7 linked regions of the Callithrix jacchus genome follow. The protein of the gene in region 5 purifies or fractionates together with the protein of the main gene of each other region. This does not show direct contact. Links are inferred from orthologs where the notes say so. Each region holds a gene or a part of one and is shown on either strand. Other genes may lie near its edges. The genes, in order: RNPS1, CBX5, MAP3K5, CREBBP, DAXX, DNMT1 and HSPB1.

Region 1 (3,500 bases), on a different chromosome or scaffold from region 5:
TTAAGTTAAATTAAAAGCCAGTGCCGTTATACAAAGGCTCGGATGTGAGAAAGTCCACCACAAGTTTTGCCTAGGCCTTTCCTGGGTCTTAAAACAACAAAATAACGAAGATATTCTTAATGTGACTCCTTTAAACAAGTTTCACCGGGGCCTAAAAAACTCCCCAACCCTCTGTGATCTGGCAGAAGTCACAGGAAGGCTTCTTACTCCGGCACCTAACCCCATGTAAATTAAGTAAATTTACTGAGGCTCCAGAGGAAGGTCTCCATGACTCAAACCTTAGTTACAGATTAAAAGTTAATCACTTACATCTTTAGATAAATGCACACTTACGCACAGACATATAACTTAAAAAGTATAAAAGCTGAAAAACTCTGTAACTTTAAGTTGCTCTGGCAGTAATTTCCAGGCCTTCTCCGTGCAACTGGCTGCAGAAATAAAAACTTTCCTCCTCCTCAGTTATCTGCATCTCATTACCAGGCCATGAGAAATAGCGGCCCAATCCTCAGTTTGGTCCAGGAACAAATGCACTCCAGCCTGGGTGATCTCAAACAAACAGACAGACAGAAGTGCAGTGCAGGTGGAAGTCAAGTCTCTACAGGTGCTGTGTCTCTGAGAGGCTGGGTTATGTGGCAGGGTCACCCACCTCCGTCCATGTGCTTCAGCGCCTTTTCAGCTTCATCTGGATTCTCAAACTCAACGTATGCATAGCCTTTGGACAGATGGGGATGCATCCTTTCCACTGGCATGTCAATCATTTTAATTTTCCCATACGTGGAAAATATCTCCATGATGTGATCCTAGAGGGAAAGAAGAGTCACTTGAACTCCCAGCTTCCAGTTAGTCGTGTCAGATGTACAGCAAGTTCACCACATCATGACTAAAACTTTGGCAGGGCAAAACAATCCATCCAGTGAGCACCAGTGTCGCTCTGGTATACATCTCCTAGACACGTCTATTAATGGTCCACTAAGAGAACTAATCAGTGCTGTACTGAAAGCAGGTACCACCACCCCAGTCCTCCAAAACGCTACATTCTAAGTTTACCTGGGGGCACAGGCCTGCCTGTCCACAGCCAGAGATCCGTGATCCTCACCTTGGTCACATTCCTGGTGAGTCTCCCAATGTGCACTTTGGTGGGCTTAGGGGATGGGCTCCGCCTCTTCCTCTCCTTTTCATCTCTTTTAGGTGGTTTGGATCTGATTGAGAAAACACAACACCAGAAACATTCTGTCAAGTCAGAATGTACTAGATTCCTTTGAGTGGGCCTCATCTGATTGTAAGACAGTTTTCCTAAGGAAGGCATGTACATTATTCCTGTCTCAGAAGTCCTATCAAGGCAGAAAGACTCCTTTGGGGTCACTTTCATAACCCCAGTGGCAAATCTCCAGCCCCCATCTTGTAAGCTTTAGCTCTCAGGCATGGAGAACTCACTTGGAGCGGGAGCGCCTTCTATTGTCGTGCCTGCGCCGAGAAGGACTCGGAGAGCCAGAGGAGCTGCTGGAGCTGGAGCTTCGGGAGGTGCTGGAGCTTCCTGAGCGGCTGGATGCTGAGGAAGAGCTGGAGCCACTGCTTGAGCCAGTGCTGGTGCTGGAGCCTGAGCTGGAGGTCGAGCTGGACCGAGACCTGAGGGCAAGGTAAGGGATCGCAACTACCACACGCCAAGTCTCACAGTACAGATGCCTCCTCCAAGTCTGTTGTGCTCCCCCAAGGAGGAAACTGCTGTTTGGGTATCTCCAGGCCTCCCTACTTTCCCTAGTGTGGAAAACATCACTCCTGTCCCATCCCCCAGCAAACCAGAGCCCTAGGTGTCACACTGTGCAGGGAACAGGACAGAGGTGATAGGCTGCTTTCTACCCATAGAGAAGCCTTTCCTGTCGGGAGGTGGAGTCTAGCAAAAGTCAGAACTGCCGACTCAGGCTGGGAAGGCAGCTGCTGGCTGATGCTGACTCAGGCTCAGTTGTCTTTTCTTTTGAGACAGGGTCTCACTGTCACGCAGGCTGGAGTACAATGGCATGATCTCCGTACATTGCAGCTTCAACCTCATGGAATCAAGCCGTCCTCCCGACTCAGCCTCCTGAGTAGCTGGGAGTACGGGTGTGCACCACCATGCCTGGCTAATTTTGTTTATTTTCCTCAAACTCCTGGGCTCAAGCTATCCTCTTGCCTCCACCTCCCAAACAGCTGGGCTACAGATGCATGCCACCATACACACATAATTATAAAAATGTAGAGACGAAATCTTGTTTTGTTGCCCAGGCTGGTCTTGGAACTCCAGGCCTCAAGCCATCCTCCCGTCTGGGCCTCCCAAAGTACCGAGATTACAGGAATGAGCCACTTTGCCTGGCCAATCCGCCATAAACTAGGGTTTCTACTAACAATAAGAGGATGTGATTTCTTTGTAAATAATCAAGAAAACCGGAGCCATCTGTGGCGAGTGAGGGTGTGGCTGTGGCATAGGTCCCTACAGGCTCCAGGCCCGCCCGCCCACCTGGTGCTGCTGCTACCACTGGAAGCGCTGCGCCTCTTTCGGGTTTTGTCCCTGCCGCGATCCTTCTCGCTCGACTCCTTGGTGGCCCCTTTATCTTTTGAACGATCCTTGGACTTCTCATCTGAGCGGTCTTTGCGTTTGGTAGGAGAAGGAGCCCTAGATGGTGAGGAAGAGTGTGAGACTGTGTGCTGCTCTGACCAAACCCAGATAGCACAACCCAGAAAAAGGGGAGCAGCAGGGCCACAGAGATCCCAGGTGATCACAGAGCAAAGTGGTCTGTGGCTCGGAACACTCACTGCAGAATGCACAACATTCTCAACTTTCCCCTTTCTGCGGGTCCCTAGCAGTAAGCACCCCCAAAGTAGCACTAGAAAAATCTTACAGAAGGATTACCTAGTGCTGGACTTTTTATTATTTTCTTTGACTCCTAGCAAGCTCTTCTTTTTCACTCCTGATAAATCCATTCTCCCCTTCTGAGGTGTTCAAAGCAGCAATGACGGCCTCACTTATCTCAACTCTCACTTCTAACTGGATTCTGAGAAACGATCCCTAATTGATTGCAATTTACGCCAAAGAGCAGCCTAATAACAAGATAAAAGGATTTAAAGAGTGAACGAATTGGCAAGGCAGCAAGTCTACTTTGCAGTCAAAAGCTGAGCATACAAGAAGGCGGCAAGGGAGGACAGTAAGCAGTGTGCGTCCACACAACCAGGAACACATGGGGACAGTCCCCACCTGCTCATGGAGGTGTCTCTACCCCCACAGGAGGCACAGGCAGAACTGTCACCCCAGTTTATCTTTTTTTTTTAAAAAGAGACAGGGTTTCACTATGTTGGCCAGGCTGGTCTCAAACTCCTGACCTCGTGATCCACCCGCCTTGGCCTCCCAAAGAGCTGGGATTACAGGCTCGAGCCACTTCGACCAGCCAGTTTATCTTTCTTAAAAAAATGGAGGAGATGGTGGGGCCCATCACTGTCATTTTACAGGCTGAACAATTTAGTTTTCAGCC
Region 2 (4,115 bases), on a different chromosome or scaffold from region 5:
GGCTCTCATCGGTTGTTTCAAAGCTCAACCCTCCAATGAAGAGCTTCCTCAGCTGTTCCGGCTCTTTAGGAGACTACAGTGGGGGAGGCGGAAGTGTTAAATGAGCTGTAACACCAAACAATTTCCATCGAGGAAAATCAAAACTAGACAACTGTGTATGTAGCACTTATTGTTCGTTCAGATTGCAACAAGCCATGTGCTTCTCTCTAACAGGGGAGAAGGTATGTTGGGGGTTGGGAGTGCTGCGAAATCCAAAGCGCATGCGTCCCTAGTCGCCTTCCGACGCACGCGCAACAAAGGCTTAGGCGGGAGGGGTACATCGCCAAAATGGGACTAATCGCTCTTTTAAAAACTCGCTCACCAAAGCAAGGTTTAGAAAAGGAAAAGCCTTATGTGCGTAAGAATTTTTGCTAAGACTATAGAGTGCTGCATAATAACTCATGATTGGCGCGAGCGGCCTCATGGCGATCAACAGGACAAAATGGCGACTTGAACTTTGGGAGGGGTAGGCCGTGGCAGCAACCTAAAAAACTGTAGAATGGGCTGGTGAAAGGAACGAAACCAAGCCGCATCTTACCAATTCAGGAAAGGAAGAGGAAGAAATTCAAGTTGGAAAGAGCGCCTAACTCACCTCTGACTTAGACATGATCGCGGGGAGAAGAGAGACTTTAACGATGCTGCTTCGGCGGCGTCCACGGGCAGAAAGGAGCAAACTGACGAACGTATCTGCCAGCCTACCTTCGGCCTTTCTTTTTTACCCCGCCTCCTCCCTTTCAGCATTGGTACACTCCGCCCTTGAACAGTTCTGATTGGATGTGTGAAATCTCTTCCCCCTACTATTGGCCTGTGGTGCCACACTGCTGTGTAACGTCATTCCTTTGGGCGGTCTACGCCCTCTCCACCCCTTGGAGTTCATTGGTTCCCGAGTAATATTATTCTTAACCAGTCTGATTGGCCAGCCGATAAATCATTCATATTTGAATATACCTTGGGTGTTTAACGCCTTTTTAATCTTCCCCGCACAAATATTACGCTTGGCAAAGCATGATTAACACTATGTGTCAGAAAAGCAGTTAGCCAGCAGGTCAAAATTTTGACTGCTTGTTGAGCGCACGTGTAGTAAAATGGCGAGTTTTGCGCAGGCGCATTAAGAACTTCCAGCAGCCTCTGGGAACACGTGAAATGGCGGGCAGTACTAGGCAGTGACCCTACGGCGCCTGCGTATTGGCGGGAGTTGGTTCCAGCTTTGCGCATGCGTGGTGGGCGGAGAAAGGGTCCGTTCCCGGATTGGTTGCGCAGGCGCAGGGAAGGATCCGTTTTGGCGGGCGGTTGGCGTTGCGCAGAAGGTGGTGGCGGTGGTGGCTTGCGTTGCGGCCTCACCATACAGCAACAGGGCAGACGTTAGCGTGAGTGATCACTCTCAATCCCGGGTAAGTGGCAGACAGTCTTCTCTACCCATCGTAGGTCTCGAACTGACTCTATTTGGGCCCGTTATTGTGTGAAATGAATGGACCGCGGGGTGGGGGATAGTGAAAGGGCAGCGGTGGGTCGGGCCAACCAATAGAAGAACAGGGGGCGGGATGTTTTAATCCCTGTAGGTTCTTTGGAGCGGTGCAGCTGAAGACTTTGACTGGCTTGCGTATACGCCAATTGGGTCTGCCTTGAGCTGCCGACTGATGGGCCCTTGGGGCCATCGGAATGTGGGAGACGGGTTTCCCCTCCTGAGCTGCGTCTCACTGAGCCAGTAAGCGCGAAGCGCGCGGTAGGTTGGGCTTCTCCAGGAGGCAGCGGTTTGACTCCAATGGGGAATGCGGGAGTCGGGCGGTTAAACTGATGGACCGAATCTGGAGCCAGTAGACGGACAGCCTAAGGAAAGTGCTCGGACCAGTCGTCCAATCGACTCCAGAAGAGGGAGGTCTTCGATTTGGGGTTGTGAGGAAGGGGAGTCGGTGAATGTAATGGCGTGTGAGGGTGAATGTTTTATCCACAGTGACTTCTCTAAGGAAGCCTTTAGGCCTCTGTCCCATAAACCTCCTTGAAAGCGTAAGTTTGCTCCTGGCTGCCTCGACTTGACATTTTCCCCCCCACCTCCTCACCACTTGAGGTTTGGAGAACAGGGGAGGGTTTTGTTGTTGTTAAGTAATACTTTGAGAAGTCGCTTCTTTAGGAAGCTGTTAAAATGTTAGAACGAATAGGAAAAATCACAACATACTGTCATGGAAAGGCGTTCGAGAAATATTTCTTTCCTAATAGTGCATATTTCTGAACTAATATGTTGTAGGTCTAATAAAAAAGTTTCGGAAAGCTACACCCTAAAGTGTGTCAATCCTAGGGACACAGTAGGATCGAGGCAAGTTGGATCTTTAATGTTTAAAACTTTGCAGGGTTAATGATCTGTGATTAAAACTAAATAAAAAATGAAGTCAGTTGTTTTGTGTTTCTAGTCATAATCACATACCACCCCTTTTCTGTTTTATATAATCCATGTACCCAGTGCTTTTATTTTAGTCTCTTTCTCCCGGGAACTTTTCCCGCTCATGTTTCCCCTTTCTTCACACCATTAAAGATATCCTAAAGCCCCTCTTTTTGCTGTTCCTTTGAGAATATCTGACTTTGAAATAAAAAGGAAACTGCTTAAAGAGGGTAATATTTAGAGTTCTAGGGAAAGAAGACTCATCCATCACCTGGATTATTCCTTGCTTTTTTATTAGATTTTCTTCCAAGTGTATTTTGCATGCAGTCTATCTCCTTTTGGTAATACCCACTCTGCTTATTCCAGGATCTTTTGGAGAAATAAATCAATTTTCATAACATTGGCTGTATCAGAGTCTTACTGTTTTATTCACTGATTTATTCAGGATCGAGGGAAAATATTTACTGAAAATCAACTACCTATGAAGTACACTTACGATTAGAGACCTTTCTGACTTTACCAAAGACAAACAATTTTAGTGAAGTTTATGAACATTGGAGAGATTTCCATGTTCTCTGGCAGTAGCAAAAGGACATATTTATAATTTATATCTGACTTTAAACCTATTTGCAGGTATTCTAGTAATGGAGTTATTGAGCTGAGAACTAACTAAAGTGATACAGGTTAAGGATATCTGTCCTGGATTTATTTACGTTTGAAAGTAATACAGTCTTGAATTATAGCAAGGTTTCTCAGCCTTAGCACTGTTGATATTTTGAGGCAGACAATTATTTGTTGAGGAGGCTCAGGGTGTCCTGTGCATAGTGAAATATTTAGCAGCATCCCTGGCCTCTACCCAGTGTATTCTAGTAGCGTCACCCCACTCGCTACATCCGCATTGGTGACAATCAGAATGTCTCCAAACATTGCCAAATGTCCAGGGAGGTAGGGGCGAGGGTAGAATCTCCCAGTTGAAAACCATTGATCTAGAATACTGGAGTATGCGGGGGCACAGTTTTGTGTTCCTGTAGTCCCAGCTACTCTGGAAGCTGACACGGAGGCAGGAGGCTTGAGCTCAGGAAGTCAAGGTGTGAGATGATTATGCCTGTGAATAGCCGCTATACTCCAGTCTGGGCAGTACAGCAACACCCTATTGCTAAAACAGAAATAAAATGCTAGAGTTTATTATCTTTTCAAAATCCATTATTTTAGCAACTGGTAAGTAGGTAAAGGTGGGAGAAGATTGTTGAAGTGTTTTTGTTTTTTAAGACCAAGTTTTGCTCTTGTTGCCCAGGATGCAGTGCAATGTTATGATCTCAGCTCACTGCATCCTCTACCTCACAGGTTCAAGTGATTTTCCTGCCTCAGCCTCCCGAGTAGCTGGGATTACAGGCACGCACTACCACACCTGGCTAATTTTGTATTTTTAGTAGAGATAGGGTTTCTCCATGTTGGTCAGGCTGGTTTTGAACTCCTGACCTCAGGTGGTCCCCCCACCTCAGCTTCCCAAAGTTCTGGGATTATAGACGTGAACCACCATGCCTTGTGGATGGTTGAAGTGTTTAGGGAGTGGCCTTTGGTAAATGGATGACTAAATCCTGATGTTTATCTCCTTAGGACATAGAATTGATTATTGTCCTACTTGATAAAAGAAAAATTTCTTTAAAATTATTACCACTTCTTGGCCTGGCTGCAGTGGCTT
Region 3 (3,500 bases), about 100 Mb from region 5:
CTTTCTTTTCTTTTCTCTTTTTTTTTTTTTTTTTGCTAAATTTCTCTCTATAAGAAGAACTTAACCCTTCATGAGAATCAGCATGATGAAGTGATAAGAACCTAGAGTGGAGATCAGGTTTGAAATCTCACATACCCTCCCTATTACTGTTGAGCAGTCTTGAATCTCTTGAGTCTGAGCTTCCTCTTGGCTACTGTTACCTTTTTGGAAACACTTGGTCTCCACCCTCTCAGGACTGCACTACAGGCAGCTCAGGGGCTGCATTGCCTAATTTCTCAGGAAGGCTCTCTCCCTCCCTCTTGTGAGTCAGTTAGTCACTTCCTCTTTCTGAATTGAAATCCTGTGGTTATTTATATTGTGGCGTAGGGGAGTCAACAACAGAGAGTAAACAGTAAAAGAGGGAATTCCTCCTCCAAATGGGAAGTGATTAGGCTATGAGTAAGAATCACAGAGAGGTTGGGCCAAGGAAATGTTTAATAAAAAAAAAAATCTTGCTGGAGTTACTGTAGGCCAACCAGGAGAGAAGTAATCACATGAAAAGAAAAACAAATAACAAGTTGAGACTTAAAAAAAAAAAACTTCAGTGGCATTAAGCAGGAGACTAACTAAGCAAGTCATATAAATACAGGAAGAGAAAAGAGCCAAATAAAATTCTGTAACACATTTTTCAGTGAGCATCGAAAGATACCAATACTGGCCAGGTGTCGGGGCTCACACTTGTAATCCCAGCACTTTTGGAGGCCACAGGTGTATTGCTTGAGCCCAGGAGTTTGAGACCAGCCTAGGCAACATGGTGAAACCTTGTCTCCATCAAAAATACAAAACAAATTAGCTGGGCATGGTGGTGCAGGCTTGTAGTCCCAGCTACTCGGGAGGCTGAGGTGGGAGAATCACTTGAGCCTGGGAGTTTGAGGTTGCAGTGATCGGTGATCACACCACTGCATTCCAGCCTAGGTGGCAGGGCAAGACCCTGTCTCAAAAAAAAAAAAAAGAAAGAAAGAAAAGAGAAAAGATACCAACATTACTGTGTGTGAGAACACCAACTGAATTTCTCTCTCACATTATGCTCAAACTCAGCAATTATTATTTCTTTAATTACATGAGATCTGTATCATCATTGTAAAAACATACCAGTAAAAGTTTCAGTACAGGGGTTTATGCCAGCAAGCCTCTTTGATGTCCCGAAGTCAGAGATCTTGAGTACACCACTGTAGGTATTAATCAGCACATTGTCACCCTAGAGAACAGAGGACTTTCATCACAAATGTTATCTTTCTTTCTTTTTTTAATTTTCTTTTGTTTCTCTTTTTTTCTTCTTTTTTTTTGTTGCACAAATGTTATCTTTCTTCAGATACTGTCTGTTGTTGACTTGGTAAGTCCAATTTTTAAAAAAGCTGTCCTTACAGCAACCAATGACACTAATTCTGTATTCTTCATTAGTAGTTGATCTCAATAGTGAATTTTTGATACTGTTTTTTGTTTACATATTATCAGTGTGAAACCACCTTTGCAAAAATTATAACAGTGAGAAAATGATGACAGTAAAAGAGATATGATCTAACAACCACCATCTTGCCTTAAATTTCCAAACTGCCCTTGGTCATTCCAGGGTGTAGACCAAGCTCACTTGGGGAAATTTAGTTTATAGTTTAGATGATAATAGCCCTTCCCCAAAACTAAACCACCTTCATAAACCTAAGGAAAGGCAACCAGGTTAGGAGGATGAGAGGGGCCTAAAGTCTGCTAAGATGCAGGCATAGTTACATGATTATCAGCTCCTTATTCTGGGGGTCACAAGATTTGCAACATCCCCAGTTGTTTTCATAATTGACATCACTATTGTAGATCCTAAGACTGGCCTTTTGAGCTGTCTTTTCAGGCTACTCCATATCTGACTACCAGATGGCATTACCCAGACCTGTGACTCTGGACTCAACCATTACTGTGGCCCCCACCCAGAAGTGGACTCGGTGCACAAGAACCATTTTCCACACACCTATGATTGCATCCTCAACCAGTCAGCAGCACATGTACCCTAGCCCCCTGCTCGCCAAACTATCTTTGAAAAACCCTAGCCTCTAAATTTTGGGAGAGGCTGATGTGAATTATTATAAAACGCCAATATCTGGTTTTAGCCATCTCTATGTGTATTAAACTTTCTCGATTGCAATTCCTCTGTCTTGAGAAGTCAGCTCTATCTGGTCAGCGGGCAAGATGAACTCATTGTGTGGTTATAAGTTCTTCACAATCTGTTACTCAGATCACAAGACCAAATATGATTCCTAATTGGTTAGAGCTTGCTGCTATTTACAGATATGTAATGATATATGCATAATTAAATTATGATTTTCATAACTTTCCAATTACTTTACTTTCTTTTCTATGGTTCTTTACTTTTTCTCCTGGAACATGTAGGGACACTACAGATAAATGGGCATTTTGGTTGATTTTAGGGTAGTAATATTAACTTACTTTCAATAGTCTAGACTTTGTGAAAAATGTATTTGTTCTGAATTTTCTTTTTAAAAAGAGAATGTAAAGTTATTATTTTAATTTTAGAGAATCTATACCTTATAATTATAGTTCAATCAATGAATATGTGATACTTGTGAGAAAAGAGGAATTTTTTTTTTCTTCTAACCATTCATCCATTGATTCATTAAGTATTTACTGAGTAGCTACTATGGAAAAGGATACAAAGATTAACCAGCCTGTAAGCTCCTCAGGACCAGGGCCCTGTTTAACTTTAGACAACTGCATCCCACCCTGCGGAGCCCCTAGGAAGCATCATATAGTGGGAGCACAATCTTGTTGGCTGAACAGTTAAGCAGTTTGTTCCTTGAGCAGAAGTGATAACACATGAACATAAAGAAGTGATTCAGGGCGGAATTATAGCTTAGATTTCTGCTGTTTCTAAGAATTACTTATTCACCATTCTAAATTAACATTCATAACACAATATGACTTTTGCAAGTAAAATAATAACCCAGCAAAGAAAGAACTCATGAAAACGAATCCTGGTGCACCCCACCTTTATGTCTCGGTGAACTATCTGATTGTCATGGAGATACTTTAATCCTTCCAGTATTTGCTTTGTATAAAAGCCAATTGTTTGCTCATTGTCTTTTAATGGACCCCATTTGGAACGGAGGAGAGCAGAAAGACTTCCTGTAAAGTAGGAATAAATAGTAAATAAAACCTCATTCAAATGAGCTCTTTAAAGAATATTAATAACGTAACAGTAATTTGAGCTAACAATCATTGGTTCTTCACAGTGGCCCAGGCCCTGTACTAGATATTGGGCTCAAACATAAATTTGCAAATAGCCCTGCTCTGAAGAAGCTTGCTACCAAATGCGTCTAAGTAAAAGGCCAGTGTCAACTGCTAACCTTAATTCAAGCCAAGATGATTGGTACTGAAATGGTTCCCATATTTACGCACTGTCTCTGCGAAATTACATAATTCAAATGTAAAGCTTTTGGAACTTTAAATTATTTAAG
Region 4 (3,500 bases), on a different chromosome or scaffold from region 5:
ATCGTGCCACTGCACTTCAGTCTGGGTGACAAGAGCGAGACTCCATCTCCAAAAGAAAAAAAAAAAAAAAAAAGAAAAGTTAATTGTTAACTTTTTGTTATGTTAACTAACTGTAAGGTGAGAGTGACATGCCATCTATACTCTTAAGTTTATCTCATTCTGAGGGATCTCCACAACTAGAATCTGGAACTAGAAAATAAGATGAAGCTTTTGAGCTAACCCCAGCCCTCTCATGCAGCTCAAAGTGCAGAGGCACATAAGACCAAACTGCATCAAGGATCTTTGTCTCCATGACAGGGGCTGCAACTCAGTGCTCCTCAGCAGTACAGAGCCACCCATGCTCTCTTTGACAGCCCCACTCAGCAAGGACACAGAGTGTGGGAATCTCTGGCCTGCCCAGGGCTGCCAGAGTTCTACCCGCAGTGGGAGTGGCTCCCTAAATAAGCGAATGGCTCGTACAGCCTAGTAGGGTACTGTCATCTGGTAGCCAATGGGCAACACAGGAACAAAACCAGGTATCTATGAAACTGCAAACCTGTTACGTACAGTTTATGCACTAGATGGCTCCGCAGGTCCTGAGTGACATGTTCGTGCCAGCCTTTCCTTACACCAGTGCTGGAAGGAGGAGCTGCTGTTGGTATGGTACTGAGAGTTCCAATGCTACCAGAGTTGGAGCCATCGTTCATCAGGGGGCTAGGGAGGAAACAAGGACACTTCGTCCATCTACCGAAGGAACTGAAACACACTTAGTCTAATACGGTTCATTTACCACCATATGTGACTTTTAAAAATCTAAGTCAGGAGAGCCAAGTGATGTATGTACACAAAGTTAAACTACGTTTAATCTATTACCTGTTCTACATTTATAATTAAAGAAAAAAGAAAAACAGCATTCATCCCTCACCACCCCATTTAACTATTTTCTCTATCGCGCATTTAGAAAGAATCAGGTCTGTGCGGTTTCGGCCCACACTTCCGTAGGACTGCCACTCAGAACTGAAACACGATCTTACTTTGCAGCCCCCAGGGAAGTTGGAAGAGCGGATTCTGAAATCAAGTTTGGGGGCTGCTGATCTGTTGTTATTCCTCCTGCTGGAATCGTCATTGGGTTATTTCCTTTAAAGACAGAAAGAAAAGAAATCGATCAACTCTTAAAATTTTAATATATACTTCAAAGTGTTGATGACAGATAACCAACATGTCACCATATAAACAATCGGTGATTATTTAAATAAGCGATTCTGATCAGTTATAATAAGCACAAAGGCAGGAACCCCGAGTGTCATATTTCAATAATGGTAACCAACATGCACAAATAATCAGTAGACGCCTCCCCACTCTACTTTGTAACCAAAGTAAAACCACTAGGTTAGCTGGTATCTAGTGACCCATACGCAGCCTCCAACTTTCATTCTGCTTCATGAATCTCTCTCCTAAGTGACTCAGCTGCCCTGACACATGCCTCTATCATTACCCCCAATATGAGAAAATAAAATCATAGAAATTAAGCTCAGGAAAAAATATCGAGGTGAATTTGTCTACAATCTTCATACTAAAGTAAACGAAAGCTGAGATTCAAAAGGTTAACCCTGTCCCAAATTACACCATCAACAGGAGAGGAATTACATTAAGACTTTGGTCTCAGGATTCTAGTCTCCTGGCCAGTATTAATGAGATATTCATTAGGGCAGTTGTTTTCCAAAAAGCAACAAATAAAGTGACTTTAACTGGGCATATTTTAAGGTGTAATTTTTAAGAGTATAATACTTACTCTATTAGGAAAAGAACAAAACTAGAACAACTAGTTAACCAGACTTGACTTTACAAACATCACTACTTAGCTTAAGCCAAAATGTAAAGGGACTGTGTCCACTTAAAGTAAAATGTTAAAGAAACCATATGCAGAAATGACAAAAATCATGGTGATGTGTAAGCAAATGACCAAACGCTGGCAAATAATGGGCTGGGGTGACAAAGGAATATTGGTGTGTCCGGCAGCCTGAGCCAAGAACGTCCCCAGGACTCCTGTCTTTAACCTGCTGAAGTCCAGGCTGGCACTTCTAACTGCAGGGAAGACCCTAACCCAAATGTGTGAGAAACTGCCAGACACAAGTTCTCCATCAAATAAATGACAAGAGTCAGCAGGAGGGGTCCGCTCAGCATCTTGACGTGTGAGATCTGCATTCTGAGCCACATGGCACATTCTTTATGAAAACTGTCCAGACAGAAGTGGCACAGAATGCAACAAAAACATTGCTTTATTTGCAAATGCAAATAAAAAATTCTTTTTATAAGCATGTAACATTTTCCTTGCATCAGACACTTCAGCTTTTTCCTGTTAGATTTTTATTTCAATCATTGTAGTAAAAAACAAAACAAACAGAAAAGTGCCTTGGGTTCCATCACTCCATTCCCTTCAGTGCATTTGGACAAGTAGGAACGAGGTTGAGAGTTCTTTCACCTACCCAGGGGGTTGAGAGTCCTCATCTGCTGGTGGGTTTGAGGCTGTGCTGGTTGCTGGCCAGGAACCTGAGGCTGCAGCTGCGTCTGGGGCTGGTTCATGTAGGGGAGTCCGAGAGCAGCATAGGCTCGCTGCATGGAGCTGGGGTCTATGGGATTTGGGTTACTTAAAGAAGTGGCATTCTGTTGCCCTGTGCCAACAGAACCAATTGTGTTTTGAATCCCACTAGCCGGAGACCCCAGGATGGCTATAACAACAAAGAGACAGACAAACAAGAAAGGTTAGCAAAAGGAGGAAGCCCACAAATGGTTTAACAACTTCTGAGAAGCAAACACATTTTACCAAAAGACTACACGTGAATATCAGAAAGCCATGAAACAAGGCTAGGGAGAAAGGAGCTGTTTTGAAGGAAATTCTCATTTATTCCGCCTTGCAGTAAGAGAAGAACAAAAAGCTAAAGAAAAGTCAAGTTTCTATCTTAGCATGCAACAGATCATAAAATCTCACTTAAAAAAATTAGTATATCTTAAAATCTAGAGACTCCTTAAGAAGTCAGTTCCAGGGAGTGGCAAATGGATGACAAAGGAAACATCTGATTCTCTGGGGGCCAGCAGACACCTCTGAGATGAACAGAGGAGCACCCTCCTGCTGCTGATCCCAACCCTGTCCTTCACTGCTCACCTGCACAGGTAGAGAAGGAGCAGAGATGATACCTGGTCAGTCACTTTTGATTAATAAATCTATGCTGTGCTCTTCCAAATCACATAACTGGAATTCCTTGAAACTTACACAAACAATGACAGCATGAACACAACCTTTTGACGGGATTCCTATGCGGCAGAGCACCACGCTGAGCTCTCTGGCTACATGAAGCTAGTCAAGAAATACTGCACGTGACCGACTGATCTGTTTCAAATTAAGGATGGAGGAAAGCTTTGCAATTCCACATCAGTCTTGTTATCCAGGGGTCTCCTCAGTACTCATGATATTCAGGAGGTGGCTCTGCCTCACATGGCCATCATCAGCTTCTGCTACCTAG
Region 5 (3,979 bases):
TCACTTTCCTCATCTTCATCATCTGTCTCAGCTCTGGAGGTGGAAGGGCACCCCTGGGATGCCATTCCACTAGGGCCCTGGGGACAAAGAAGTTTCTCTAAGGAATCCCTTGCCCCAGAGGGTTTGATTCTTGCATTCCTTTTCATACTCCCCCATCAGTCAACCTGGACTCCCTGGTGGCCAGTGCAGGGGAAGGAGAAAGTCTCTCTGAAGGCTGTACCCCATCCACACCTCACCAGAATCCAAGGAGGCATTGGGGATGTCTGCAGAGGAGGAACAGGTGCCTTGGAGCCGAGCTCTTCTCTTTTTCCTCTCGCCCTCCTCACTTTTGTCTTGCAACATTGCATATTTGGAGATGACCTCATCCAACCGACTCATGGCCAAACTCCGGTTTTCCCGAAGGCGCCGGGCCAACACAGGATCTGACAGCGCAGGGTCAATGCCTACATGGGAAGACATAAAGTCAGAGCACTCAGCCCTTGAAGGGCCTAGAAGAGTACAAACCCTAGAAAGGACTAGAGAGATGCCCCATCCGCCTCATACCTGACAATATAAAGGTCACTGACAGGTATCCCACTAACCCCCTACCTGGCCTATAGTCATCTGTGAGGTGGCAGCCAAAGTTGTAGATGAGATCGAGGTGCCGTCGTTCCTGTAACCTGATGCCCACATCTCGGAAGGCATCCTGAGCCATGAGCTGGAGTTGCTGTCGGGGGAGGCCAAGGCTGTGGCGAGCAGCTGCCTTCTCCACTGCCCGAAGCACATCTCCATAGTCAGGGAAGGTATCAGGCCCTGGCTTGTTGATGAGCCGCTCAATGCGCCTGTTAACCTCTGGGTAGCGGGTACCACGGTAGGGGATGCGCTGCTCTATGACACGGCCCGTCAGTGAAGAGCAGTCTTTCAGCTCACATAGTCGCCCAAAGAGGCGGATCAGCTTACGCTTCAAGCGTGCCTCCTGCAGGTATGTGGAGTCTGGGTCGTCCAATTCCGAGAGATCTAACTCCTTTTCCTGCAGCCGCCGGATCTCTGCCACATAGAGTGCCAGCAGCTGCTCCAAGCGCTGGATCTGCCGCCGGGAACCACGGGTCCTTGGGGCCTCAGAGGCAGTGTTTTCAGCATTTGTGGGGTCCAAGGAGAGGTGTGTGGGAGAGTTATTCCCAGACGGCTCATTGGAGGTGGTGAGAGCAGGGGCCAAGTTCAGCTTCTTTTTGGCTGAGTGGGCCTTGAGAACAGTGCAGAGCTCATTAATGTAGACATAGAGCTTAGCTGGCCGGCTCTGGGCCCGAGATAGGACCCGAGAGAGGATGTTGCAGAACTCCGCCGAGGCCAAAAACAGAGAGTGGGCACGTTGCTGCCGGCTATAGAGGAATGGGACCACCTCAGGGTGGTCTGCTGTCTGCATCTTACAAAGTTCAAGGAACTGGAAGGTTCAGGGGAAGAAGGGAAGGGAAGAGAGACAAGGGAAGGGTTGAGAGAAAGGGGTGGTGGGGTTAGTGGGGAAGAAAGGACAGGAGAGCCAGTCAGCCATCCCCCTCCCTGGGGTACAAAAATCTTCCCACTAAAGCTCACCTCTTTGAACAGCTTCTCATTCTCCAACTTGTAGCATTTCTTGCCTCCCGAACTACTGCGTCCTCTGGCCCCATGAGGCTCAGAGGAGCTAGGGGCTTCTGCCTCAGGCGAGGCCGAACTGGGGAGTGGGTGGGAGGGCCCTGGCTGAGCAGCTGCTTCATCTTCGTCATCATCATCCAGCACAATGATGCTGTTAGCGGTGGCCATGGGGGATCAAATCCCCCAGACGGAGGAAGTGGTGGGGATTTCAGAATTCCTGCTGGAAGGGGATGGGGCCTCAGAATGATCCCCTCCAGCATTGCCCCATCCCTTCACCTCACACATTTTCCTAACTCCTTGGGTTTCAGTAACATCCATCCCTGACCAAAACTATCTTCACCACCTGATTTCAATAACCATTAGTTCTATATGCTTTTCGGGCTCTTCAAGTGGTGTGGGGAGGGCAAACCACCCCCACACCATAAGTTGCCACCTTCTGCTCCACCCCTCACGTCGATTTCCGGTCTTTCAGTTTCGTCTCTCCACTATTTCTCAGAGTTGGCAAGTTGAGTCTTCCTCCCACACTGCACCCCAAATCGTCCTGACACCCCCTTGTACAGATAACACACTCTTATGGGCGCCACCTTATGTATTTGCCACGTCTGTCCTCAAACATGTCAACCCCACACCCACCCCATCCTGAATGATCACCCCAACTTCTAGACTCTCTGAGGCAAAAGAGGTTCCCTCCCAACAGTCCGTTCTCTTTTCCCCTCCTTGAACTGGCTCCATATTTCACCCTCTGATGAGTCTCCTCAAACTGGGGCTTCAGGTTGAAGATATTTTACTCCAAGTCCCCTCCCTCTCACCCCACCCTAATTTTCCCCATTCTCTCTGTGACCTGATCAAAAGTACCCCCCAGCCTCCGCGCTGCGTTCTCCCGATTCCTCTTAGATCCCAACCCTGGGTCGAGCAGGTCCAGTAGACGCGCTTCCCGCCAAATCCCCCTCCCCCAGTTCAACCCCCGGCCGCCCCACTCCCTTTCAGGGATAGGAAGGTATCACAGCTTTCACCTCAGACCCAATGCCTGGCTCTCCCCCATACCCCTCCCCCGATATCCCCGCCCCTGCCTCTGGTCCCCGCACCGGCCGGCCCCCACCTCAGAAACGGTCTCTCGAGGCGACCCTCGCGGCTGATCTCAGAACCTCGCATGGTTCCCTCCGCCTTCCTTCCCCCTCCCACCGCAGGCCCCACTACGGACCGGAAGTCACAGAGTTTCCGCCTACAGGCAACTAAGCGCCGCCATATTGTCGTACGGAACCCAGTCTTTCTGTGGACGGAAGTGGCCGTAGGCCCGCCCCGTGAACACTTTCAGTGCCGCCCACATAGCGCTCTCTTTCAGATCGGAGTTTGTCTCCCCCAACCCAAGCTTCCCAAAGCAGCTGGGGGCCGCCATTTTGCCGTACGGCGCTGGCTAAACCCGGACTCCGGTGCGCAGCCAGTGGAGCTCTTTTCACCCGGTGCTTCTACGACTCTGCCAATCAGAAACTTCCTGCTTGGGGCCTAATCGCTGGCGAGTAGCATGTAGGGAGGACCGAGCCTCCTTTTCGAGCAGGGGCAGGGGAACCGTACAGGGTGGATAAGGAATTGGGCTTTCCAAAGCTGCGCAGGATTTCATGGAAGGGCAGAAGTCTCTTAAAAGGGAAGTAAAACCTTTTTATTTCAGCTGGGCTGTTGGCAAGCCTTCTGGCCCTGCTTTCCTGTCCCCCAGATTCCCAGATTCCCATTTCCAAGGCTTATTCGGCTGCTCCTTCCCCTTTCCCCGCTAGGCGGCGCGCTCCTTGCCGCTGTCCAGCAGTTGCTTCCACTGCCAGGGTCTGCGTCTCCCGATTGTTATAACACATGCATACAAATGAGCACAACGCGCCATGCAAAAGTGTTGTTATTATTATTATTGCTACTGTTGTTGATTTGCTTTTCAAGCTTCACCACAGAACTAATGGCCAACCAAACTGGTGGGACTCGAATGGTTCTGCTTCTCCGGAGGGGGTCCTCGAGGGGCCGTTTGTGCTGACCAGGAGGCCGTGCTTTGTCGTGGAGGCCCCCCCGCAGGGTCTGTGGATAGGCAATGATGGGGTGGGACTTGGAGGAGAGTCTGTGAGACGAAAATACCTTGGGTCTCCGCCTCCTCTTCTGGGAGAGCTGAAAAAAGAATAAAGGATGAAGAAACAAACTGATACTCACCTCGTTGAGTTTAGGGAGACTGTAGGGTGTCGTGGAGGCAAGGCTGTTTCCAGAGGTGAGCTTATGAGGAAACCAGAAATGTTAACAGGGTCCCAATCGTTGAGATTCCCACTTTCACAACATCTTGCCACTTAACTGGGGCCACAGAGGTCCTTAGATCCCTAACGCTGAGTCCCGGAATGGCAAA
Region 6 (4,261 bases), on a different chromosome or scaffold from region 5:
ACTCGGGAGGCTGAGGCAGGAGGATCACTTCAACCTGGGAGGCAGAGGTTGTAGTAAGTCAAGATTACGCCATTGCACTCCAGCCTGGGCAATAGAGTAAGACTCCATCTCTCAAAATAAAATAAAATAAAATAAAATAATTCCAGCTGGTTGCGATTGCTCACGCCTATTTAATCCCAGTACTTTGGGAGGCTGAGGCAAGCAGACGCTTGAGGCCAGGAGTGCCAGACTAGCCTGGCCAACACCGTGAAACCCTGTCTTTACCAATAAAAATACAAAATTAGCCAGACTCGGTGGAGTGCGCCTGTAATCCCAGCCTTCTAGGGAGGCTGACGCATGAGAATTGCTTGAAACTGGGAGGCAGAGGTTGCAGTGAGCCAAGATCTCACCACTGCACTCCAGCCTGGATGATAGAGTGAGACAGAATCTTATCCTGTCACCCAGATGGGAGTCCAGTAGCCCAATCACATCTCATTGCAGCCTCCACTGCTAGGGCTCAAGCCATCCTCCCACCTCAGCCTCCAGAATAGCTAGGATTACAGGTATGTGTCACCACACCTGGCTAATCTTGGTATTTTTGGTAGAGATGGGGTATTCCTATGTTGCTAAGGCTGGTCTTGAACTTCTAACCTCAAGCCATCCTCCCACCTGGGCCTTTGAAAGTACTGGGATTACAGGCATGAGCCACAGCGTCTGGCATGGTACTTCTTAATATATTTTTACCAATCTTCCTGCCTTAACCTCTGGAGTAGTTGGGACTACAGGCACACACCACCATGCCTAGCTAATTTTTTTTTTTTTAGAATGGTTTCTCCATGTTACCCAGGCTCCTGGACTCAAGCAATCCTCCAGCCTCGGTCTCCCAAAGTGCTGGGATGACAGGCATGAGCCATGTGGTGCTTTAAAAAAAAAAAGGAACAACAACAACGAAAAACCCCACACTGGCTATAGAAGAGGCACGGGCCTCTGTACACTGTGAGATTATTAGTACTAGCTACAAATTCTGTGCATACTCAAGATTTTCTGGAGTAGGTGTAATTACCCGGTTTTACAGGCAAGGATGCAAAGGCTGAGCCTCAAAGACCTACCCAAGGTCGTATAGCCGGCAAATAGATGGAGGTTGGATTAGAACTGAGGACTTTATTCAAGAGCCCTATTCTCACAACCCCATGGGGGCTTCTCGCTGCTTTATTCCCAGCACGCCTGAAAGAATGAATGAATGAATGCCTCGGGCACTGTGCCCACCTCCCAGCAAACTGTGGAGCTTGGACGAGCCCACTGTTTGGCGCGGGGGTGCCTGTCCGCCTTGCGCATGCGTAGTCCGTCGGCATGGACCGCTCCGCTCCATCCGTCTGCACAGGGTATCGTCTCTCTCTGTTTGGTACATCCCCTCTCCCCCTGCGCCAGGGCCAGGGTGGTACACGCCGCCTCCGCTAGTCGCCCCTCCCCATCGGTTTCCGCGCGAAAAGCCGGGGCGCCTGCGCTACCGCAGCTGCTTCTGCTCTAACCTCCGAGATGCCGGCGCGCACCACCCCAGCCCGGGTGCCCACGCTGGCCGCCCCAGCCATTTCGCTGCCCGACGATGTCCGCAGGCGGTAGGTACCATGGGGGGATCGCGGACTCTGGGGACCAGGCAGGGCGCTGGGTGGGGGGTCGTTTCCCCTCGGGGTGGCCGCTGGCCGCTGCTGACAGACGGGCGCGCATGCGTGGGGTGGTGCGGCGCGCAGCGGCGGTTGGCGCGGGCAGAGTGGCACTTCCGGTCCCGCGTGCCCGGGCTGTTTGGCGCCAAAATGGGCCGTGGATTCCCCCGTACCTCCCTGGTGGCTAGAAACTAGGTAGCGGGAGAGGTCTCTTTTGATCCCCAAATCGAGCAAGCTTTGGGTTTGTCTCCAGGGTTCCCTTCTCCACGCAGTGGCGTGCCGGGCTCCTGCTTCCAGCCTGGTTGCACAGGAAGTGGGCAGCCCGCGGCCAGCGGACACCCCTCGGGCACGGGCACTTCGGCCTCCACTTCCGGTGTCCGGCCGGGTCCCTGGGGGTGCTTCTCTGGCGGGAGGGGGTGCCTCAGTGCCTTTCCCCAAAAGCTGTGCATCCCGGTAGCGGCCCCCAGAGACGGACGTCATCGCTCGGGCCCGGGCTGGGCTGGCTACTGTTTGCGAGCCCAGCCTTCCATCAGTGGGGGGACTCATTCTGTCACTTGGGACTGTGCGGTCCTTGCTCCTTGGGAAAGTCGTGTTTTGGCAGGAACTTTAAGCATGCAGTACAGTGCAGCGCAAGGAAGCGTGAAGGATGCATGGTCGGTCTTCACTAGTAAATGTGTGTCTGTACTAGTAAATCTATGCCTTTGAGTGGGCATCAGGGAAGCCTTGCTAATGGGAACTGGCTACACTTTCGGGTGTGTGTGTGTGTGTGTGTGTGTGTTTGTTTGTGTCTAATGTTGGGGGCCGTGGCTATAGCAATTCATAACCTCTGTCCAATTTCCGTGCATAAGTATCAGTGGGAGCACTGGTCCCAGCCCCTTGTTCATGAAATTTATGCCTAAGAACTTGTTCAAGTGAGGTGTGCATTAGTCATCAGACCCTCACCAGACCTGGACACTTCCAACTGGATTTGCAAAAGCACTCTTTGCCATTTTGCTTCCTTGGGCTTGTTAAGTGACCTGGTTGGGCCAGGCCAGTACTGATTTGGGTCCTTGGGGTGGGATGGATATTTGGTTTGACCCCCTCTTTCTCTTTTTGAAGGCTGGGCGCTGTGGCTCACGCCTGTAATCCCAGCAGTTTGGGAGGCCGTGGCGGATGAATCTCTTGAGCCAGGAGTTTGAGACCATCCTGGGCAAGGTGGCAAAACCCCATCTTTACTAAAAATACAAAAATTAGCCAGGAGTGGTACCATGCGCCTGTAGTCCCAGCTACTGGAAAGACTGAGGTGGGATTAACACTTGAGCCCCAGAGGTTGAGGCTGTAGTGAGCCGAGATTGTCCAACCTGAGTGACAGAGTGAGACCCTGTCTCCAAAACCACTTTTTAATTTTATTTTTAGAGATGGGTCTCTGTTCAGGCTGGAGTGCCCTGGCACAATTATAACTCACTGTAGCCTTGAACTCCTGGGAGTAGCTGGGACCACAGGCCGCTCACCACCATGTCCAGCTGACTTTCTTAGTTTTTGTTTCTGTATACATGAGGTCTCACCATATTGGCCAGGCTGGTCTTAAACTCCTGCCCTCGAGCAGTCCTCGTGCCTCTGTATCCCAAAGGTTAGGATCACAAGCGTGAGCCACCCTGCCTTAACTACTCCGTGTTTTTTTTTTTTTTTTTTTTTTTTGAGATGGAGTCTTGTTCTGTCGCCCAGGCTGGAATGCAGTGGTGTGATCTCAGCTTGCTGCAGCCTCCACCTCCTGGGTTCAAGTGATTCTCCTGCCTCTGCCTCCCAAAGTGCTGGGATTATAGTCAAACCACGTCATAACCAGTTAGTGGGGATATATCTTCTTGAATTATCTGTGCCAGTATCCTCCCAAGATAAACCTTGGTTTAAAATGGAAGTGAAATTATGAAAGTGTCTAACTGCATGATGTTAAATGCAATTCAGAGAAGCTTGGGCCTAGTCTTTTTTATTTGCTTTTATTTTGCAGAGATGGGGTCTTGCCATGTTGCTCAGGCTGGTCTTTGACTCCTGGACTCAAGCAATCCTCCTGCCTTGGCCTCTCAAAGTGTTAGGATTATGGATGTGAGCCTGGCCTGCCCAGCCTTCTTGAAAACACAGCCTCCACTTGGAGGACCTTAAACAAGCACATGCCACCTCTATATTCTTAGTCTAGGCATGATGACATGGGTTTTCAGCTGGTATTGGACTAAATGAGAATATGCCTGGCTCAGAAAGGCTCACATGCTAGTGGCCAATTAGCTTGCTTTTTTCAGTTTTTGTTTTTTTTTTTTTTTTTTTTTAAGAGATAGGATCTCACTGTATCATCTAGGCTGGAATGCAGTGACACAATCATGGCTCACTGCAGCGTCGAACCCCAGAGCTCAAGCCATCCTCCTGCCTCAGCCTCCTGAGTAGCTGGTACATGCCACCATGCCCAGCTAATCCTTAAAAACTTTTGTAGAGGTGAGGGTCTTGCTTCATTGCTCAGGCTGGTCATGAACTCCTGACCTCGTGATCCACCCTTCTTGGCATCCCAAACTGCTGGGATTACAGGCATGAGCTACCGTGCCCAGCGTTAATTCATTCTTAAACCTGCTCATAGACAGGTAGGCTTCCCCACAAGA
Region 7 (3,392 bases), on a different chromosome or scaffold from region 5:
CTGTCTTAGCCTCCTGAGTAGCTGACATTACAGGCATATGCTACTACGCCTGGCTAATTTTTGTATTTTTGGTAGAGATGGGGTTTCAGCATGTTGGTCAGGCTGGTCTCGAACTCCTGACCTCATGACCTGCTCCCCTCAGCCTCCCAAAGTGCTGGGATTACAGGCATGAGCCACTGCAACTGGCTTTTTATTTTTAAGAGATAGGGTCTCACTGTGTTGTCCAGGCTGGTCTTGAACTCTCAGCTTCAAGCAATCCTCCTGCCTCAACTTACCAAAGTGCTGGTATTGCAGGTCTGAGCCACAATGCCGGGCAATAGGACCTCTCTGTCTTTATGGATGTGAATTAGCCTGTGCCTAGCAACCTACACGGGAGTACCCACATGGCCCAGCACGGGGCTGTGCACCCAGCACACCCTGAGCAAAGGTGGCTAGTGTAAGCCAGGGAATGGCAGGTGCCCGAAGCTTCCTTCCACAAACACCAGGGTCTGAGCCAGTGACAGGTGGGTTGCTTCAAACTTTATTTGAGAAAAACAAATAAACGTATCAAAAGAACACACAGGTGGGGGGGGAGGCATGGCCAGTGGCGGCGGCACGGGTGGGCATCCGGGCTAAGGCTTTTACTTGGCTGCAGACTGGTCAGATTTCGCAGCTTCTGGGCCCCCAAGCTGGGCCCGCGACTCGAAGGTGACAGGGATGGTGATCTCGTTGGACTGTGTGGCTGGCTTGGGCATGGGGGCCTCAACGGTCAGTGTGCCCTCAGGGGACAGGGAGGAGGAGACCTGGGTGGGGTCCACACCAGGGGGCAGCCTGGACGTGCAGAGAGGGAATGTGAACGTTACATTACACTTCGGGTGGGTCCCTGTGCCCTCCTCCCTAGCCCCCGGCACCCACCCACCCCGACCTGGCGGCAGGACTCACGAGTATTTCCGGGTGAAGCAGCGGGAGATGAATCCGTGCTCATCCTGCCGCTCCTCGTGCTTGCCTTCGGGGGACAGGAAAATCAGAATGAGGGAAAGGGGACCGACTCTCGGCCCCGCCAGGCCAGAGGCCCCACCTCCAGCTTGGAGGCAGCCAGGACTGCAGGCTGGCAGGGATTAACAGAGGAGACTGGGGGTGGGGGCGTGCCGGCCTGTCCGGGCTCTCAGAAACTTCCGGAAAGTTCGAGTAAGAGTTTTGGGAGGAACGGAGCAGGGTGCCGAGGGGCGGAGGGAGCAACGCGCAGGCGCACTGGGAGGAGCACGCACGCCCCTCGCGCGGCTAGGGACAGGGACCACGCCAGGGGACCCGCTTATCTGCGGATGGGGCTGCGGGTGGGGAGAGAGTTCCGTGGAAAGAAGCATTTCTTCACCGATGATCTTTTAAAACATTTTTGGTTGCTTTTTAATTTTCTTGTAGTTGGTAGGGGGGGAGGTCTCGCTATATTGCCCAGGCTAGTCTTGAACTCCTGGCCTCCGCCTCCCAAGGCGCTGAGATAACAGAGCAGAAAGCGACCTTAGAAGCGACCTGCACTCCCGATTCCTGAGCAGGGGAATCACGGACGGATCCCGTTTTTCCCGGTGCTGGGCTAACTTTTAACTCCCCAGGCCCGGGGTTTCAACCGCACCCCCGGGCCCCGCCCTCCCCGCTAGCCTCCTCCCCTCCCCTGCAGGGCCAGGGGGTGCTCACCGGTGATCTCCACCACGCCATCCTTGGTCTTGACCGTCAGCTCCTCGGGGGCGAAGTGGTTGACGTCCAGGGACACGCGCCAGCGGTCCGCCGTGTGCCGGATCTCCGAGACCCCGCTGCTGAGCTGCCGGCTGAGCGCGCGGCTGTAGGCGGGCGCGGCCACTGCGGGGCCCTCGACCGCGGCGGGGGGCAGGGGGCGCACGTAGCCCGGCCAGCTGCTGGTGCCGAACCACTGCGACCACTCCTCGGGCAGCCGGGGCATCCCGAATGCCTGGTCGAAGAGACGGTTGTGCGGGTACCAGTCGCGGAAGGGGTCCCAGCTGGGGCTCCGCAGGAGCGAGAAGGGGACGCGGCGCTCGGTCATGCTGGCTGGCTCTGCCCGGGACGTCTGCTCGGAGAAGTGCGGGCCGCGGTGCTGGGTCGCGCTTTTATGTGCCTCCGGTTGGGTATTTTTAGCAGGCGGTGTTTGAGGTCTCTATTAATGGAAATGACCCGTTTGGGACCGCCTCTCCCCATGCACCCCTCCCCCCCATCCGCAGAGTTCAGGGGGCCGTGGGCGGGGCGAAGAGGGTTCTGCCCCAATCTGGAACCTTCTCTCGTTAAGGAAAACAAATGAGTTCGAGAGTGCGACGCTGGAGACGTGCCACACTAGGGCACTCGGAGGCCCTGGTGCTTCAGCGCTGGCGGGTGTGGCCGGCGGCCAGGCCAGTCCTTTTGTTAAGCAGGACAGCGCCAGACAGGTTGGGCTGGGGCAAACAGCTGGGAAGTGGCAGAGGCAGGGTTGGAACCACAAGGCTGTGTGTGGAATGTGATGTAAAGCAGTCTGGTGCTTGAGTCCAGGAGTTCGAGGCTGTAGTGAGCTATGTTCTCACCGCCGCACTCCAGCCTAGGCAACAGAGCAAGGCCCTGTCTCAAAAAAATAAAAAGGGGCTGGGTGCATGGCTCATGCCTGTAATCGGCACTTTGGGAGGCCAAGGCAGGAAGGATGGATCCCTTGAGGCCGGGAGTTTGAGACCATTCTGGGCAACATGGTGAGACCTCACCTCTACCAAAAAATGTTTAAAAATTAGCTGGATGGCTGGGCGTGGTGGCTCACGCCTATAATCCCAGCACTTTGGGAGGCCGAGGCGGGTGGATCACGAGGTCAAGAGATCGAGACCATCCTGGTCAACAAGGTGAAACCCCGTCCCTACTAAAAATACAAATATTAGCTGGGCATGGTGGTGCGTGCCTGTAGTCCCAGCTACTCGGGAGGCTGAGGCAGGAGAATTGCTTGAACCCAGGAGGCGGAGGTTGCAGTGAGCCGAGATCGTGCCATTGCACTCCAGTCTGGGTAACAAGAGCGAAACTCCATCTCAAAAAAAAAAAAAAAAAAAAAAGGAATCTGACAATCTGTGTGGTTGCAAGGTGTGTGGGCTTTGGGAGGTTAAGGTGGGAGGATTACTTGAAGCAAGGAATTTGTGACCAGCCTGGGCAACACAGTGAGACCCCATTTCTACTAAAATTCAAAACAAATTAGCTGGGGATGGTGGCGTGCATCTGTAGTTCCAGCTACTCAGAAGGCTGAGGTGGGAGGATCATTTGAGCCCAGGAGGCTGCAGTGAGCCTGATTGTGCCACTGCACTCCAGTCTGCATAACAGAACAAGACCCTGTTTCTTTTCCTTTTTTTTTTTCTTAAGAGGGGGTTTCACCATGTTGATCAGGCTGGTCTTGATCTCCCGAC

What was found.
Region 1: the proteins of DAXX (region 5) and RNPS1 purify together in Homo sapiens (co-immunoprecipitation; 3 studies listed by BioGRID and IntAct, with this or other methods). This does not show direct contact. The link is inferred for Callithrix jacchus from reciprocal best matches to the Homo sapiens genes DAXX and RNPS1.
Region 2: the proteins of DAXX (region 5) and CBX5 purify together in Homo sapiens (affinity purification with mass spectrometry; 3 studies listed by BioGRID and IntAct, with this or other methods). This does not show direct contact. The link is inferred for Callithrix jacchus from reciprocal best matches to the Homo sapiens genes DAXX and CBX5.
Region 3: the proteins of DAXX (region 5) and MAP3K5 purify together in Homo sapiens (affinity purification with western blotting; 7 studies listed by BioGRID and IntAct, with this or other methods). This does not show direct contact. The link is inferred for Callithrix jacchus from reciprocal best matches to the Homo sapiens genes DAXX and MAP3K5.
Region 4: the proteins of DAXX (region 5) and CREBBP purify together in Homo sapiens (affinity purification with western blotting; 3 studies listed by BioGRID and IntAct, with this or other methods). This does not show direct contact. The link is inferred for Callithrix jacchus from reciprocal best matches to the Homo sapiens genes DAXX and CREBBP.
Region 6: the proteins of DAXX (region 5) and DNMT1 purify together in Homo sapiens (affinity purification with western blotting; 4 studies listed by BioGRID, with this or other methods). This does not show direct contact. The link is inferred for Callithrix jacchus from reciprocal best matches to the Homo sapiens genes DAXX and DNMT1.
Region 7: the proteins of DAXX (region 5) and HSPB1 purify together in Homo sapiens (affinity purification with western blotting; 3 studies listed by BioGRID and IntAct, with this or other methods). This does not show direct contact. The link is inferred for Callithrix jacchus from reciprocal best matches to the Homo sapiens genes DAXX and HSPB1.

What each region holds. Positions count from the first base shown.
Region 1 is NC_133513.1:4,505,914-4,509,413, reverse strand, and holds part of RNPS1 (RNA-binding protein with serine-rich domain 1), read right to left. Parts: intron 3,073-3,500; 5' UTR 2,956-3,072; coding exon 2,885-2,955; intron 2,648-2,884; coding exon 2,492-2,647; intron 1,627-2,491; coding exon 1,435-1,626; intron 1,200-1,434; coding exon 1,097-1,199; intron 801-1,096; coding exon 647-800; intron 459-646; exon of another isoform or gene 1-458. UniProt on the Homo sapiens protein: Part of pre- and post-splicing multiprotein mRNP complexes. Auxiliary component of the splicing-dependent multiprotein exon junction complex (EJC) deposited at splice junction on mRNAs.
Region 2 is NC_133510.1:65,270,094-65,274,208, forward strand, and holds the start of CBX5 (chromobox protein homolog 5), read left to right. Parts: upstream 1-1,315; 5' UTR 1,316-1,430; intron 1,431-4,115. Other genes in the region: HNRNPA1 (heterogeneous nuclear ribonucleoprotein A1), read right to left, coding at 1-73, 632-646. UniProt on the Homo sapiens protein: Component of heterochromatin that recognizes and binds histone H3 tails methylated at 'Lys-9' (H3K9me), leading to epigenetic repression. In contrast, it is excluded from chromatin when 'Tyr-41' of histone H3 is phosphorylated (H3Y41ph).
Region 3 is NC_133505.1:143,406,012-143,409,511, forward strand, and holds part of MAP3K5 (mitogen-activated protein kinase kinase kinase 5), read right to left. Parts: intron 3,169-3,500; coding exon 3,032-3,168; intron 1,238-3,031; coding exon 1,132-1,237; intron 1-1,131. UniProt on the Homo sapiens protein: Serine/threonine kinase which acts as an essential component of the MAP kinase signal transduction pathway. Plays an important role in the cascades of cellular responses evoked by changes in the environment.
Region 4 is NC_133513.1:5,895,637-5,899,136, forward strand, and holds part of CREBBP (CREB-binding protein), read right to left. Parts: intron 2,709-3,500; coding exon 2,466-2,708; intron 1,117-2,465; coding exon 1,014-1,116; intron 694-1,013; coding exon 547-693; intron 1-546. UniProt on the Homo sapiens protein: Acetylates histones, giving a specific tag for transcriptional activation. Mediates acetylation of histone H3 at 'Lys-18' and 'Lys-27' (H3K18ac and H3K27ac, respectively).
Region 5 is NC_133505.1:41,563,007-41,566,985, forward strand, and holds the start of DAXX (death domain-associated protein 6), read right to left. Parts: upstream 2,801-3,979; 5' UTR 2,708-2,800; intron 1,829-2,707; exon of another isoform or gene 1,826-1,828; 5' UTR 1,777-1,825; coding exon 1,570-1,776; intron 1,421-1,569; coding exon 589-1,420; intron 444-588; coding exon 232-443; intron 78-231; coding exon 1-77. UniProt on the Homo sapiens protein: Transcription corepressor known to repress transcriptional potential of several sumoylated transcription factors. Down-regulates basal and activated transcription.
Region 6 is NC_133523.1:9,373,678-9,377,938, reverse strand, and holds the start of DNMT1 (DNA (cytosine-5)-methyltransferase 1), read left to right. Parts: upstream 1-1,461; 5' UTR 1,462-1,515; coding exon 1,516-1,595; intron 1,596-1,713; exon of another isoform or gene 1,714-1,835; intron 1,836-4,261. UniProt on the Homo sapiens protein: Methylates CpG residues. Preferentially methylates hemimethylated DNA. Associates with DNA replication sites in S phase maintaining the methylation pattern in the newly synthesized strand, that is essential for epigenetic inheritance.
Region 7 is NC_133503.1:11,064,272-11,067,663, reverse strand, and holds HSPB1 (heat shock protein beta-1), read right to left. Parts: upstream 2,073-3,392; 5' UTR 2,033-2,072; coding exon 1,669-2,032; exon of another isoform or gene 1,228-1,668; intron 986-1,227; coding exon 922-985; intron 811-921; coding exon 621-810; 3' UTR 501-620; downstream 1-500. UniProt on the Homo sapiens protein: Small heat shock protein which functions as a molecular chaperone probably maintaining denatured proteins in a folding-competent state. Plays a role in stress resistance and actin organization.